Pelodiscus sinensis: one gene and its partner. The protein of the gene in region 1 interacts with the protein of each later gene in a pairwise test. Links are inferred from orthologs where the notes say so. Each region holds a gene or a part of one and is shown on either strand. Other genes may lie near its edges.

Region 1 (7,893 bases):
AAAAGACAGAGTTGGTATGCTGCTGCAATCTCCCTCCCCCATGTTCTGGCTGTTCTGGGGGAAATCTGGGGCTGATTCTCCCCCAGGAGAGAGACTGGGGGGGGTGAGGCAGCTACCAGCTCCTCCCACAGTTTACACTCCCCTCTCCCACACAGAAATTCCTGCATATGGGCCTGCCCCCAGACTGCCTCCCTGAACACACCCAAGGGACTGAGGCACACTTCTGGACTCAATCAAAATTCCAAATCAAAGAACCATCCCGAGATGAGGAAAGGGCACACTGAGTGGGCCCTGACAAGGGCAACAGTGCCCTGCCAAAGGAGCACACCTGGAATCAGCAACACTGCTTTTCTCTGTAAATCATTTTGTGAGATTTCAGATGAAGGATGCTGTGCAAAATTATTTGTACTGTAACTATTCAGTAGAGCTAACTACCTTTTTTCTCTCTCTTTATAGAGGTAAAACCATTCTGAGGTCTCAGGAAAGGGGTGTTTTTATATACATGTTCTCTCTCTCTCTCTCTCTCTCTCTTATGTGATACTTATCTATGAAAAAAGTGTTCTATTAATATTTTAAGCACAATCCTGTAAAGACTGTCTTTTTTTCAGTGGATGGATTTATAAGGTTATCTTACATAGTCTTGTAGCATAGTGCAGAGTGTATAAAAATATGGCTGTATTTTTATATTTACTGCTTGGAGAACCATGGTGGCTGATTTATTCAAGCATCACTTCCAAGAAATGAGTATGTTCAGAATCTCAATGAAACTTCAAATAGGAAAGACACTTTTCACCATAAATATTAACCAATAACTGTGTCTAAAATGGTCCTTTTTCCTGGGGATATTTAGAAATCCAGTTTACATTACAGCTCTGTGTCACACTGTATGTACATGTAATCTGTTGTCAAAACACACATTACAAATTCATTTTTTAAATACCAGTTGGGGATAAATTGTCTCTTGAGAGTTATCCCTGAATACAAGACTACAATCTCTGCTATATACTCTAGGGCTACGTGTATACATCAGTGTTATTTCAAAATAACTGATGTTATTCCAAAATAACATAATCCACATCTACACACAAGCAGTTATTTCAATATGACTGCTTACTCAGGGTACATCTACACTGCAGGGGTTTTCTGAGTATCCTGGAAAAACTCCACCGCGTCCAAGGAACGCGTTTGCTCTTCCACTTTTTTTTGTGGCACACCAAACACACTCTTTTGGGGAGCCCTATATTCCTCGTTCTACGAGGGATAAGGGCTCTGCCAAAAGAGGAGGCTTTTCTGCCATTTGGTCCTGTCTAGATTGGGCCAAATGGCAGAAAAGCCTCTTCTGGAGAAGCGATCAGAAAAAGCTATGCAAATTGCGGAGCGCAATTTGTAGTAACTTTTTCCAACTCCCCCCCCATAGTGTAGACCTAGCCTCAGACTCCTGTAACCCTCATTGTACAAGGAGTAAGGGAAGTCAGGGGAAGAGTGCTCTATCTCAAAATAACTGCTGCGTAGACAGCGCCAAAACTCTAAATAAGCTATTTCAACTTAAGCTACGCAATTGGCATAGCTCAAGTTGCAGAGCTTATTTCAAGTTTAGCCCTGCTGTGTGGACATGCCCTAGATGCAATTACACATGCTGCAGATGACATCCATGGGATAAATTCTTAGGCTATGTTATGTAATATCAATAGTAATAGAGATGTAGCCGTGTTAGTCTGGTCTTGCTGAAACAAAAGACAGGACTATGCTTAAAAGTGCTGCATAGTCCTGTCTTTATGTAATATCATATATTGATAATATAGGATGAATTATACTTGGATGACTTAGTTGATGAAGAATATAATACATATAGCGTATGTCATGGCCAATAAAGCTACACACAATGCTGAGGATAGTTTATTCAACTTTTTATATGCTCAACACCTCTATGAGTGTCATTGGACTTCAGGATGTCCCTGTGGGTTGGATTTTACATTTAGATCTCTAACAGCAGAAAGAGTGTAGAATTGCTGGTACAAGGGACCTGACTTCCTAATTTTAGCCTTTTGATCTTGAACTGCCTTTCCAGCTCTCTTTCCTGGTCTGTTGCTTTCTCTGCTTCCCATTTTTGCCACTCTAACTCCAGTGATCTCGGTGGGTCTCTTTTTGCATTGTCCATTTCTCTTTGGCTGCCCATGGCTGGTATTTACTAGAAGCTGGGAACAGGAGATGGGATCAATCACTTGATGATTACCTGTTCTGTTCATTCCCTTTGAAGCATATAGCATTAGCTGCTGTTGAAGCCAGGATACTGAGCCAGATGGACCTTTGATCTGACCCAGTATAAGTGTTATTATATTAAATCACATTCCTTCTCCACGTTTGCCATCTCCAACATCGCCAAATCCAACTTCATGGCTGTTTCATTGAGAGCTGTATTTGCACATACCTTGCACATACCTTATCTTTTTTCCTCCAGTGAAAATCTCAATTACTTTGGTATTTATTTCTTGAACTATGTGCTGCTGCTCAAAGTACTGCCTCTTGGAATATGATTCTTGCTTGGTCACAGAATACTATTGTCTGTTCTATTGCCCTTACTGAAATAAACAAACAAAAACCAACAATCTATACCCTTTTTTGGTTGTTTCTAGCCATCTCACTTGTGAATCTCTTAGTATCCACAAGCTAATCTACACTAGATAATTAGATTGATCCAGCTATGTCATTTGGGGTGTGAAAAATCCACATTCCTGTGAGAGATAGTAAAGCCAACCTAAGTCCCCAGGTAGACAGTAGTAGCTTGATTGAAAAATTCTTCCACTGACCTAGCCTTTAAATTGGAGCTTTCTTCCTCCTGCAGTCCTACTTTCCTAGTCAGGTTTCACTCCCCAGAACAAGGCAAGCAGTCCCAGTACTCCCAGGCCCCAGCCACACCAAGTCCTGGCCACAAGCTGGCAGTTCCAGAAAGGAGCAGCATGCTTGGATTGGGTCCAAGGAGAAAGTGGCAAACAGAAGGGAGTTTCTGGTGGGGTGTGGACAGAGCCACACAGTACTGTTTGGGGAGCCTCCCACAGCCTACAAATACACACCACCCACAGCTGAAAAGGTAGATCTCATGGAGGTCACTGAATCCATAACATAATCTTAGCCTTACTTATTAGAGACTGGATGTGTGAAGGCATTGCTAATGAGATATAGAGCCTTTCCTGTATGTGTCACAAATTTGTTTCTAGCCCAGCTCAGCAGGGCTGGAATTATTTTAATCATTCCCATCTGTTGGAAGTTTGGTGGGTGAGTGCCAGCTTCCACATCACAGTTTCACAAACAGCGTATGGGTATGTGGGAGGACAGGGGACAGATGCAATGTGAGGGGTAGGCACTATGTGAGAGGACAAGGGACAGGAGTATTATGGGGAGGGATGCAGGCAGCATGTGGGTGTTGGGACTTGGGGGGAAGCAGGCAGTGTGTGAGTGTTGGGACTTGGGGGGCAGGCAGTGTTGGGATTTGGGAGGCAGGCAGTGTGTAGGTGTTGGGATTTGGGGGCAGGCAGCATGTGGGTGTTGGGACTTTGGGGGCAGGCAGCATTAGGTGTTGGGATTTGGGGGGCAGGCAGTGTGTAGGTGTTGGGATATGGGGGGAAGCAGCATATGGGTGTTGGGACTGGGGGGGCAGGCAGAGTTGGGTGTTGGGGCTTGCGGGGCAGGCAGTATGTAGGTGTTGAAGGTTTGGGGGGGAGGCAGCATGTGGCTGTTAGGACTTGTGGGACTAGGCAGCATTAGGTGTTAGAATTTGGGGGGGGGGACAGGCAGCATATTGGTGTGGGGACTTGGGGGGGGACAGGCAGTGTGTGGGTGCTGGGATTTGGGGGGCAGGCAGCGTATTGGTGTTGGGACTGGGGGGGCCAGATGGCATGTGGGTGTTGGGACTGGGGGGCAGGCAGTGTGTGGGTGTTGGGACTGGGGGGACCAGGCAGTGTGTGGGTGCTGCGGTTGGGGGGGGGCAGGTGGCATGTGGGTGCTGGGGTTGGGGGGCAGGCAGTGTGTGGGTGTTGGGACTGGGAGGGCCAGGCAGCGTGTGGGTGCTGTGGTTGGGGGGGCAGGTGGTGTGTGGGTGCTGGGGTTGAGGGGCAGGCAGCGTGTGGGTGCTGGGACTGGGGTGCAGGCGGTGTATTGGTGTTGGGACTGGGGGGCAGGCGGCGTGTGGGTGCTGGGACTGGGGGGTAGGCGGCGTGGGGGTGCTGGGACTGGGGGGCAGGCAGCGTGGGGGTGCTCGGGTTGGGGGCCAGGCGGCAAGTGGGTGTTGGGGTTGGGAGGCAGGCGGCGTGTGGCGGCTGGGGGGCAGGCGGCGTGTGGGTGCTGGGGCTCGGGGGCAGGTGGCGTGCAGGTGTTGGGACTGGGGGGGCAGGCTGTGTGTGGGTGCTGGGGGGCACGCGGCATCTGGGTGCTGGGGCTGGGGGGCAGGTGGCGTGTGGGGGCTGAGGAGCAGGCGGCGTGTGGGGGCTGGGACTAGGGAGCAGGCGGCGTGTGGGGGCTGGGACTGGGGGGCAGGCGGCGTGTGGGTGTTGGGACTGGGGGGGCAAGCGGCGTGTGGGTGCTAGGACTGGGGGGCAGGCGGCGTGGGGGCTGAGGAGCAGGCGGTGTGTCGGGCTGGGGTTGGGGGGGCAGGCGGCGTGTGCGGGCTGGGCGGGGGGGGGGCAGGCGGCGTGTGCGGGCTGGGCGGGGGGGGGCAGGCGGCGTGTGGCTGGGCGGGAGGGTGGCGCACAGATGGGCCGCAGGGAGGACCAGGGCAGGGAGTGTCTGATCAGACGGGCCCAAATGACCATTTCAGCCTCTGGCTCCTGGCTGGGCGGGGGGGGGGCAGCGGGCAACTCCCCCTGCTCCGGGGTCGTGGGGGGCGGGGCTGTCTGTGGGGCTGGGTCGCAGCGGGTGGAGGTGGGGCCGGCGGGCGGGTCGCTCTGCCCCCGGGCGCGGCGGGAAAGGGGCCTGGGCTCCCCCCGGGAGAGGCCGCGCCGCCCCCAGCCTCTCGCTGGGCGGGGCAGGAGGGCGGAGCGGTGGGATACCCGGGCACCACGGCCGGGCGTCGCCCTTCGCCTCCATGGCAACGAGCCGCCGGCGCGCGCACGCCACGGGCTAACGGAGTTGCTCGCGGACACGCAGCAAGGGCAGCGCTCCAACAGGTAAGGGCAGGGCCTGACTACGCGGCGCCCATCGCGGCTGCTGGGGCGGGGACGCGACACAAACCCCGACAGGGACCGCGGCGCGAGAGGCGCTGGCCATTGAACGTTCTGTGGCCGGAGAGAGCTGCGGAGCCTCTGCCGCGAAGCAGGATGGGCGATGTAGTTCTTGGGCTCACGCCCGCGGTGACGGCCGGCCGCGGCGCGGGCGGGCGCGGACTACAGATCCCAGCGCGCGGCCTGTGGCCGGGTAGGGGGCGCAGCTTGGCTTCGCCCCGGTATCTGACCCTGTGGGGGAGGGGTCGGGGGGGGACCCGCTGGGGACCCGGAGGTGGGCGCGACACCGGGGGCTGCAGCAGCGCAGGCTGGGCCTGTGTAACGGCGCCGAAGCTGCGGCCCGCGGTCTGTCGGGGGCTTGTGGCGCCTCCGCCCTGGGGGTGTCTGGGGGGGGGGGGAGGATGCAGAGCTGGGTGTGTAACGGGAGGGGCTGAGCGCAGCGCCAGGGGACGTGGGCGAGGAGGCAGCGAGGGCGCTGGGCTGTCAGTCCCCCAACACGTTAAGTCCCGTGAGCTGTGCAGCGCCTCTGGGGAAGCCCCTCTCGCTGGCTGAGCCCCTTGGACCAGCTGCTCTGTCCAGGCACACGCCTGGTTTTGCTTTTTCCATAGTTCCCTTTGGCTTTGAAATGCCCAGCGCTTCCCTCCTGAGCAGGCAGCCTCCTCTCCCCGGGTTGCACATTAAGGCTTTGTCTACACTCCCACGTAACTATCCAGTCTTTAGGTGCTTATAGATTATCAGTTTTGCCTGTTACATACAGCTCCGCTTTCCCTTTGATATTTATATACCCATTTCCCCCCCCTCTATTTATTTTTGGTTCTGGACATCTAACACTCCAGTCATCTGAAGAAGTGGACTGTGCCTACCAAAGCTCATGATACCATTTACATGTTTTGTTAGTCTTTAAAGTGCTACCAGACTATTTGTTGTTTTTTAAGTTTATCCCATACAGACTAACTTGGCTACCCCTCTGAAGCTTGCAAATCTTTTGTTGGTCAGGGGTGTGGAATCCCCCTGACCCCCCCCCCCAAACAATCCAGACAGACATAGGCAAGTTTCACTGACAAAAGTGTAGACCAGTGGTTCCCAACCTTTTGGGGTTGCTGGGTGCCCGGGGGAGGGGCCACTCGCGCTGGGCACCCGAGGGCGGAGCCGCACACGCACCTGGGGGCGGGGCTGCGGCTGCGCACGCTCCCAGGGGCGGGGCCTCCCATATGCTGCATGCCCAGTGCCGGTGCCACCCATGCGCTGCACTCCTGGGGCCGGCGCCGCTCCTGTGCCTCACGCCCAGGAGCTGGCATCACCCAAGCGCTGCGCGCCTGGGGCCGGCGCCGCCACTGCGCTGCGTGCCATGGGGCGGGGACGCCCATATGCTGAATGCCCAGTGCCGGTGCCACCCATGCGCCTCACTCCTGTGGCCAGCGCCGCTCCTGGGCTGCACGCCCTGGAGCCAGCAACGCCCATGCACTGTACGCCTGGGGCCGGCGCCACTCCTGTGCTATATGCCCGGGGGCAGGGATGCTCATACGCCACGCGCCCGGGGCCCGTTCAGCCCATGTACTACGCTCCCGGCGGCGGGGCCACCCATGTGCCACGTACCCCGGGGCCGGCACCGCCCATGCGCCATTCAGCCAGGGTTGGGCCACCCATACGCTGCGCGCCCAGGGGCTGGCACTGCCCATGCACCACATGCCCGGGGGCAGGGCTGGCCCCGATCACTCGGTGGGCACACAGAAATGGCCTGGCGGGTGCCATGGCGCCCGTGGGCACCATGTTGGGGACCACTGGTGTAGACTGTGTGGCCAGTGGTATGTTGGCAGGAGAGCTCTCTTCCACCAGGATAGGGCAGTGGTTCTGCTGTGTCACTGTAAGGCAGTGGTCTCTAACCTTTTTAAGCACAAGATTACTTTTTGAATTTAAGTGCAATCCAAGATCTACCTCTCATATAAATATCCTTCCCCACTTCCTTCCTACCCTTTCTCCAAGGCCCCACCCCTGCTCACTCCATCCTCCCTTTCTTGCCCATCCTCACTCACTTTCATCAGGCTGGGGCAGAGACCTTCACCGCATCCTCTGGTAAGGAGTTCCACAGGTTGACTATGAGCTGAGTGAAGAAAAACTTCCTTTGGTTTATTTAAACCCTGCTGTATATATCATAGGGTATGTCTAGACTACATGCCTCTCTTGCCAGAAGCATGTAAATTAGACTACCTGACATAGTCAATGAAGCCAGGATTTAAATAGCCTGGCTTCATTAAAATAAAAATGGCTGCCGTGTTGTGCTGGCTCAGCTGATCGTCGGCATAGCGTGTGAGTCAAGACGCGGATCGGTCGACAAGGGAAGCCTTTGTCGACCGCTCCTGTAAACCTCGTTTTTTTAATAGAGAAATAAAGCAGGTCACACTAAAACCAATGAAAATAATTGACTTATTTATTGAAGACATTGTAGGAGACGTGAGATTTTTAAGTGCAACTTAAATGAGAGGGTAGTATTAGGGATGGTTTTGAAGGCATGATGGACAGCATGAATAAATTAGGCAGAAAAGTGTATGAAAAGGAGTAAAGGCTAGTATCTTTTTTCAGCTATGCTATTCTTGCTAGTTAATGTTTTATTGAAAGCAAGTGAAATGTTAGGATTCATGCAACTTGATGTTTATATTAGGGATGTAAACAGAGGTAAAAG
Region 2 (6,876 bases), on another chromosome or scaffold:
AGATCATCTTCCACTAACCCTCTCTCTATGAATAGCATGCAGATCTGAACATCCTGCTCCTCAGAGCAGGCAGGTGCCTCGCCACAAAGGAGAGAAGGGAGTTAACATGGTCATAAAGCAGGTATTTTCATTTGCAATCAGTTGTTTCAAGAGCACATCTCACATTGTGTTTATGACCAAGGTTAACATATTATCAGAAAACACACAGCGTGGGGTGTTAGAAGCTAGACAGAGTGGGAGCATCCCGGTTAGACTTACGGCTACATGGCACCAGAGCTAAGGGCTGGGAAATGCTAAAGCCTGCAGTGTGATCTTCACAAGTTTGTGGAGATTTTCAGCCTCTCATCCCATCCCAACATTGGAAAAAGAAAAAAATCCACAAAAGTTTTATAAAAGGAAGCACCTCAGTACACAATTGATAGGATTAATTCTTCAAATGCAAACAGGCACACAAGGCCTAGTGCTGTGCCATACTCCTGCAGACTTTGTAGTGTCCACAATAGTATGTACTGGCTATCTCCAGTTAACTGGCAATCAATTAACTTCAATTCCAGTGCAGACAAACCCAATGAGGACAGTTCTTTCAGTCAGCAAACCTTACTCTGGCAGCTAAGTCCTATAGCTGCATCTCTCTCCCTAACCTCCCCCTCTCAAAAATGCTTCCTCAGCTATGGACCCATGCCCAGAATAGTCCTGACTACTTCTGTGCAGCTCCTCAGCAGGCCATCCATAGCCTGCAGCCTCTAGTTTCCTCAGTGTTGGCCATGTTCCCTCATCCCACTGCTGTGCAGGAGCACAGGCAGTAGACATGCACCTGTGGAAGGACAGCACAGGACATTTACTGAAGGGGGGGAGCAGTAGCTCAAGTGTGGGGAACATAACTAGGAAATATTCATTAAGCATGGCGAGGACAAAAATTGCACTCCCTGAAAGCTATCCATGGCTGGCTTCTAGCTAAGGCATTGCCATGCAGGACCCTGGAGGTGGGGTTAATATTGGGGCTCTCGGCACACAAGTTAGATTTGACGGACTGTCAGAGTTGAGTACTGTATGTTGATTGTTCCACTGTGTTGGGACCACGCTGCATTCCAATCAACTAAGTCTCTGTACAGACTCTGTACCCTAATTCTTTCCCCAGAAGAATCTAGGGTAAGGGAACAATGATGATTACCTTCCCGACAATGGAAGGAGCACTTGTAGTATGCAGACTAGAAGTGCTCTTCAATCAAACAAGGAAGACCAACTGATGTACATTTTCTGCTATTATTATTGTTAGTTTGACAAATAAGACTACATACAGTGAGAGAGAGTGCAGGTCACCACACTCCAACAGCAGCGGAACGCTCTGCTCCAGCTTGAATTCCGGACTTTGCCTCCTACCCAGACGTGAACACTCATCATGGATTTTCATACCCAGCTCTGCCGTCCCTGATAATTAAGGCCCCTGATAAGCCACACAAAAAGCAGGACAAGTGAAGGGCTTGATTACCTCCTGCCTTTGCCAGACCCGCTTTGCCATCATAGCACAGCACTAGCCAAGTGCTCCCTGAAGTAGGCTGTGCAGAAAGACCCTGTGCTTTAGAGCAGGTAGCCCTGGATGCGTCATCACAAGCCACTGACTAACATGGTTCTGCCACATACCAAGGGCAAGCAGACATCTGGTTACTGAAGTTGGACTTTGTCCTTAACTGGACAGATTTCTCCCTACAACACTCATTCTGCTCAGGTCAAACTTTGAGGTGCTGGGTATGGAAGAGACCGGAGTGGTCCCCTCTCATCCATCCCCAGGATCTGGAGAGCTGGGTCCAGCCTAGTTCTAAATAGGCCAGGCAGTAGCGCTCCCTCTCCCCGAGGGTCTTCATGCACTGGTGCCCCTGACTGCTAGGAAGCCGCCCCTCACGGTCACATCTGCCCCAGCCGCGGCCCCGTTTGCCCCGAAGCGAGCGACGTGCCCGAGGTCAGGCAACAGGCCAGTGGCAAGGCCAGAGCAGCGCCTGCCCCAGCGATGGCAGCACCGGGCTCTGGACCACGCACCCGACCGACCCTCACCCGCTGGCCACGGCTACGGGGGGGCACTGCCCACAGGCACCCCCCCCTCACCGGGCAAGCCGGGGCCCCAAGGGGAGATTCCCTCACCCCCCCCCCCCCCCCCGGTGACTGCAGGGGCGGCGAGGGGACCCCGCTCAGCAATTAGCACTGGGACGGGGGCCCAGGGGGAGGCGCCCCCCCCCTGCGCGCTGCCCCCCCCGCGCAATTACCGCCCCCCCCGCGCGCTGCCCCCCCCGCGCCCATTACCGCCCCCCCCCGCGCCCATTACCGCCCCCCCCCGCGCGCTGCCCCCCCCCGCGCACATTACCGCCCCCCCTGCGCGCTGCCCCCCCCGCGCACATTACCGCCCCCCCTGCGCGCTGCCCCCCCCGCGCCCATTACCGCCCCCCCTGCGCGCTGCCCCCCCCCGCGCCCATTACCGCCCCCCCTGCGCGCTGCCCCCCCGCGCAATTACCGCCCCCTGCGCTGCCCCCCCCCGCGCACATTACCGCCCCCCCCTGCGCGCTGCCCCCCCCGCGCAATTACCGCCCCCTGCGCGCTGCCCCCCCGCGCAATTACCGCCCCCCTGCGCGCTGCCCCCCCCGCGCAATTACCGCCCCCTGCGCGCTGCCCCCCCCGCGCAATTACCCGCCCCCCCCGCGCGCTGCCCCCCCCCCGCGCCCATTACCGCCCCCCCCCCCCCGCGCGCTGCCCCCCCCCCGCGCCCATTACCGCCCCCCCCCCGCGCGCTGCCCCCCCAGCTGTGCCCGGGCCAGGCGCCCCACACTCAGCGCTGCTGCCCCCCCCGCCAGACAGGCGGGCGCCTCACTCACCCCTCAGGCGGCGGGGCCGCTGGCGCGGGCACCCCCCGTCCCCTCAGCGCGGCCGGCCCCGGCCCCTTTAAATCCAGCTTCGGCTGCCTCAGCCCGGCAGCCGCTTCCCACAATGCCCCGCGCGGGGAGGCGCAGGCTGAGCAGTGGGGCACGTGACTCAGCAAACCGCCCCCGCCCCGCGCCCGCGCTGACAGGCCTTCGGGCGCGTGAGGGGCTGGGCTTGTCCGTTGGAGGCGCGCGCCGGCTGCGCTGTTGGCTCTGGGTCCGGGCGCGCGCGCGCGCGGCGTGGTGCAGAGCCGCTCCCTTGCGGGCGGGTGGCGCGCGCCCCTGGCTTGCAGCGCTGGGAGCCAGGCCAGGGCCAGCTGGGCAGCCCGCCCCCAGGGGCCGTGTCAGGCCAACCTGCCTGTGCTGGGCACCCCTCCCCCCAGCCAGCAGCACCCCTGGGCCCGGCCCCTGGCCGCGGGAAATGCATCTGGTCGAACACGCTTGCAAAGCCCCGCTGGCTATTTGAAAACCCCATTTCACTCTGTGGCTAAGGGAGTGCAATAAGGGAGTGCCTAAGGGAGTGCCCCCTGGGATGCATAAGCAAGGGCCAGCAAGTGAAGAGGTGGCACGACGTCCATGCTCAGCACTGGCGGGCCCAATTACCGTAGGGGTCTGGCATCCGCGCGCCAAAACGAATGCTGTTGACAGACCGGAGAAGTTCTGAAAAGGAGCGAATAAGATGAAGTCTGGAAAACTTGCCTTCCAAAGAGAGACTAAGGAAATGCAATCTATGTAGTTCATTCAAAAGAGGATTGTTCCCAGTCTATGAGTACCTACATGGCTAAGAGATTTCTTATCATTCAGACCGGGGGGGCCCAGTTCCAATGATGACGTCACGCCATTGAGGGCTATGGAGGCGGGGGCGCCCATCGCACATTCCGCCTAGGGCTCCAGATGCCGTCAGCTCTCCACGAGCCGCTCCTGATTCAGACTAGAAATAAGATGTACGTTTTAGACTGTGAGAATGACTAACCATTGAACAGCTTACCTAGGACTATGGAGGTTTCTTTGTGACTTGGAGTCTGTAAATAAAACCTGGATCTCTTTCTAAATGGCTATAGCCCAGCCAGAAACGACAGGCTTGATCCTGGAATTGTTGGCTGTGTCTAGACTGGCCAGTTTTTCCGGAAAATTAGCCGCTTTTCCGGAAAAGCTTGCCAGCTGTCTACACTGGCCGCTTAAATTTCCACAAAAGCACTGACTTCCTACTGTAAGAAATCAGTGCTTTTTGCGGAAATACTATGCTGCTCCCGTTCGGGCAAAAGTCCCTTTTGCGCAAAAGGGCCAGTGTAGACAGCTGAGATTTGTTTTCTGCAAAAAAGCCCTGATCGCGAAAATGGCGATCGGGGCTTTTTTGCGGAAAAGTGCGTCTAGATTGGCCACGGATGCTTTTCTGCAAAAAGTGCTTTTGCAGAAAAGTGTCCGTGCCAATCTAGACGCGCTTTTCCGAAAATGCTTTTAACAGAAATCTTTTCCGTTAGAAGCATTTCTGGAAAATCATGCCAGTCTAGACATAGCCACTGTGGGATTCTCCAGTCCACGTTCAGGAGGTCAGATGAGAGGATCATAATGGTCCCTTCTGGTGCTCAGGCAACCTGCCCAATTTCCCTTACCAACCACACTCAGTACTAAGAAAACCTGGCCCTACTCAACCTTGCCAGACATACCCAGCCAAATTCTACTCACCAAGCAAGCTCATTCTGTGTTCTGGTAATGTAAACCAGTTCCCCTTGGCTTGGTTCCACCTACACTCCCCTCAGGAGCAACACCTGACTCAGACTCCAGCACAGTTATGCCCATTCCACGGCTGGCCTCCACAATAGCAAACTGACACGCAGCCCAAGTCAACAATACCCGACAATAACAAGACCCAGATAAACAAGACTATCTGTCCCAATAGCAGGACAAATACCAGTTAGGGAAATTAGAGAGGGTGTCACTCCAAGGTCAAGTTTGACTCCCAATGTGCACTTAACGAAGGGAGTCAAGCAGTTTATTCTGTATGAAAAGTACAGCATTTCCTCCTCAGACGACAGCAGCTATTCTTGGGGGGGGGGGGGGACTGGGAGAGAATTTGGGTGCAGGAGGGGGTTCTGACCTGGAGCAGGAGTCAGAGGGGTGCACATCTGGGAGGGAGTTTGGGTGCAGGAGGGGGTTCTGACCTGGAGCAGGAGTCAGAGGGGTGCACATCTGGGAAGGAGTCTGGGTGCAGGTGGGGGTTGTGGTCTGGAGCAGGGGGTTGGTTTGTGGAAGAGGGTGCCAAGTGCAGATTCTGGCCCTGGCGGCTCCAGTCTGGCAGTGCAGTGGGGCATTCAGGCAGGAAGGCTTCTTGCATGTCATGGTGGCCCCATGTCTCTTCAAACTGCGGGCTGCTGTACTGCTTGGGCAAAGGCGCCTCTGCACCAGAGGTGACAGTAAGAGGGTGCGCCCTGGTGCGCAGCTCTGTCTGAGCTGCGGCAAAAACCAACGGAGCTGGCAGGGACCCAAGTTGCAAGAGGACATTACCTATAAGAAATATTATGCTTTCACCACGGCTCTGCACGCTTCTTGGGGCAGGGAAGCAGTGGGTCTCCACACGCTGCCTGTGCCCACAAGCATTCCCCCACATCTCCCATTGCTTGGTTTCCAGCCAATGGGAGCCCTGAGGAAGGTGCGGGGGAGGGTGCTCCATCCCCCAGGCGGCATGCAGAGACATGCTTGTCCCAGCAGCTGGTTGTGGTGTTTCCAAAAGGAGCATAGCCAGGGCCGCTGTGAACACACAGTGTACCTGAGAGCCCTGGTGGCTACAGGACACTCCTGTGGCCCTGGCCCAAAGGGTTATGGCAGGCTGGGGGGAAATGTTTGGCAGGCTGGATCCAGCCTGCGGGCCATATATTCCCCACCCCTGGCCTATAGACAGGTTCAGAGCATTAGCTCAGGTAACTCTTACGGTAAGAGGTGAATCGATCACCCCCTTGCTGTGCAGCAGTTCTGCAATAGTTCTGTGGGTTGTGTCAAAGTCAGACACAGGACTCACAAATGTGTCAGACCGCTCTGTTTATTAGCCAAGCTGCTCTGCTAATACACCCAGAAAATGTGAGTGCCGTACAAGACTCAAACCCCTCGATTTATACAGACAAAAGAAAGCAAAATTAACATGATCCAAAAAGGAGGCAAAACTCACATGATTAGCATGAGACTAATCAAGTATCTTCATTTCCATATCAAGCCTCAGCAATCTCCTGTCCATATCTCCGTGGTTATCTCAATTACTTTCTGCCTAACACCTAATGTTCCTTTTCCTGTTATCCCAGACACACTTGGTTTCCCTCTGATCCATCCTGCATTCCTACAAACAACATTAACATAATCTTCTCTTTCCTGTAAAGGGACAAACAGTATTCCTTGAACTTAATCTATTATTACAGTATAATTCATCTTTCTACTTTCACAGCTGAAATAGCTCCATGAACAGAAGAGCAGCCATACTGGGTCAGATTGTCCTTGTCCATGTTTGTTGACCTCCCTCTAAGAATTGTAATTCCCTTGCGGTCTCTTCCCCACCATAGCGTCTACCTCTACATGTCTGATCATTCTGTTCTTTACCAGTTTCAACTAGGGACGTCAAAAGTTGGTCAAAAATCTTAGTGGTTCCACACGTTGCAGTATACAGAGTAAATGAGCTTCATAGTGCAGAGTCTGCTGCGAGTCTTCTGGGAGCGGGGCAGCAGCCACTGCTGGGACCTGGCACGTGCCGGGGCGGCAGACGGCTCCCCAGCGTTTAACTGATAACATTATCCGATAAGCATCAGCTTCTCGGTTAGCCAGTTAATCTCTAACATCCCTAGTTTCACCAGTTGGTCTGGTGCTGAAGGCTGTAGTTGCCAGGGTCGCCTCGGGAGCCCCTTTTCAAAACTGACATTACATCAGCTGTCGTCAAGCCAGCGGGTGCAGTTGATTTACCTGACAGGTTACCCCCCAGTCAGTGGTT

The links.
Region 2: the proteins of KATNAL1 (region 1) and KLC4 interact in binary tests that used the Homo sapiens proteins (3 or more experiments, as listed by UniProt). The two-hybrid records come from large-scale screens. The link is inferred for Pelodiscus sinensis from reciprocal best matches to the Homo sapiens genes KATNAL1 and KLC4.

What each region holds. Positions count from the first base shown.
Region 1 is NC_134711.1:298,586,786-298,594,678, forward strand, and holds the start of KATNAL1 (katanin p60 ATPase-containing subunit A-like 1), read left to right. Parts: upstream 1-4,886; 5' UTR 4,887-5,159; intron 5,160-5,259; exon of another isoform or gene 5,260-5,406; intron 5,407-7,893. UniProt on the Homo sapiens protein: Regulates microtubule dynamics in Sertoli cells, a process that is essential for spermiogenesis and male fertility. Severs microtubules in an ATP-dependent manner, promoting rapid reorganization of cellular microtubule arrays.
Region 2 is NC_134713.1:200,179,182-200,186,057, reverse strand, and holds the start of KLC4 (kinesin light chain 4), read right to left. Parts: upstream 3,019-6,876; 5' UTR 2,862-3,018; intron 1-2,861.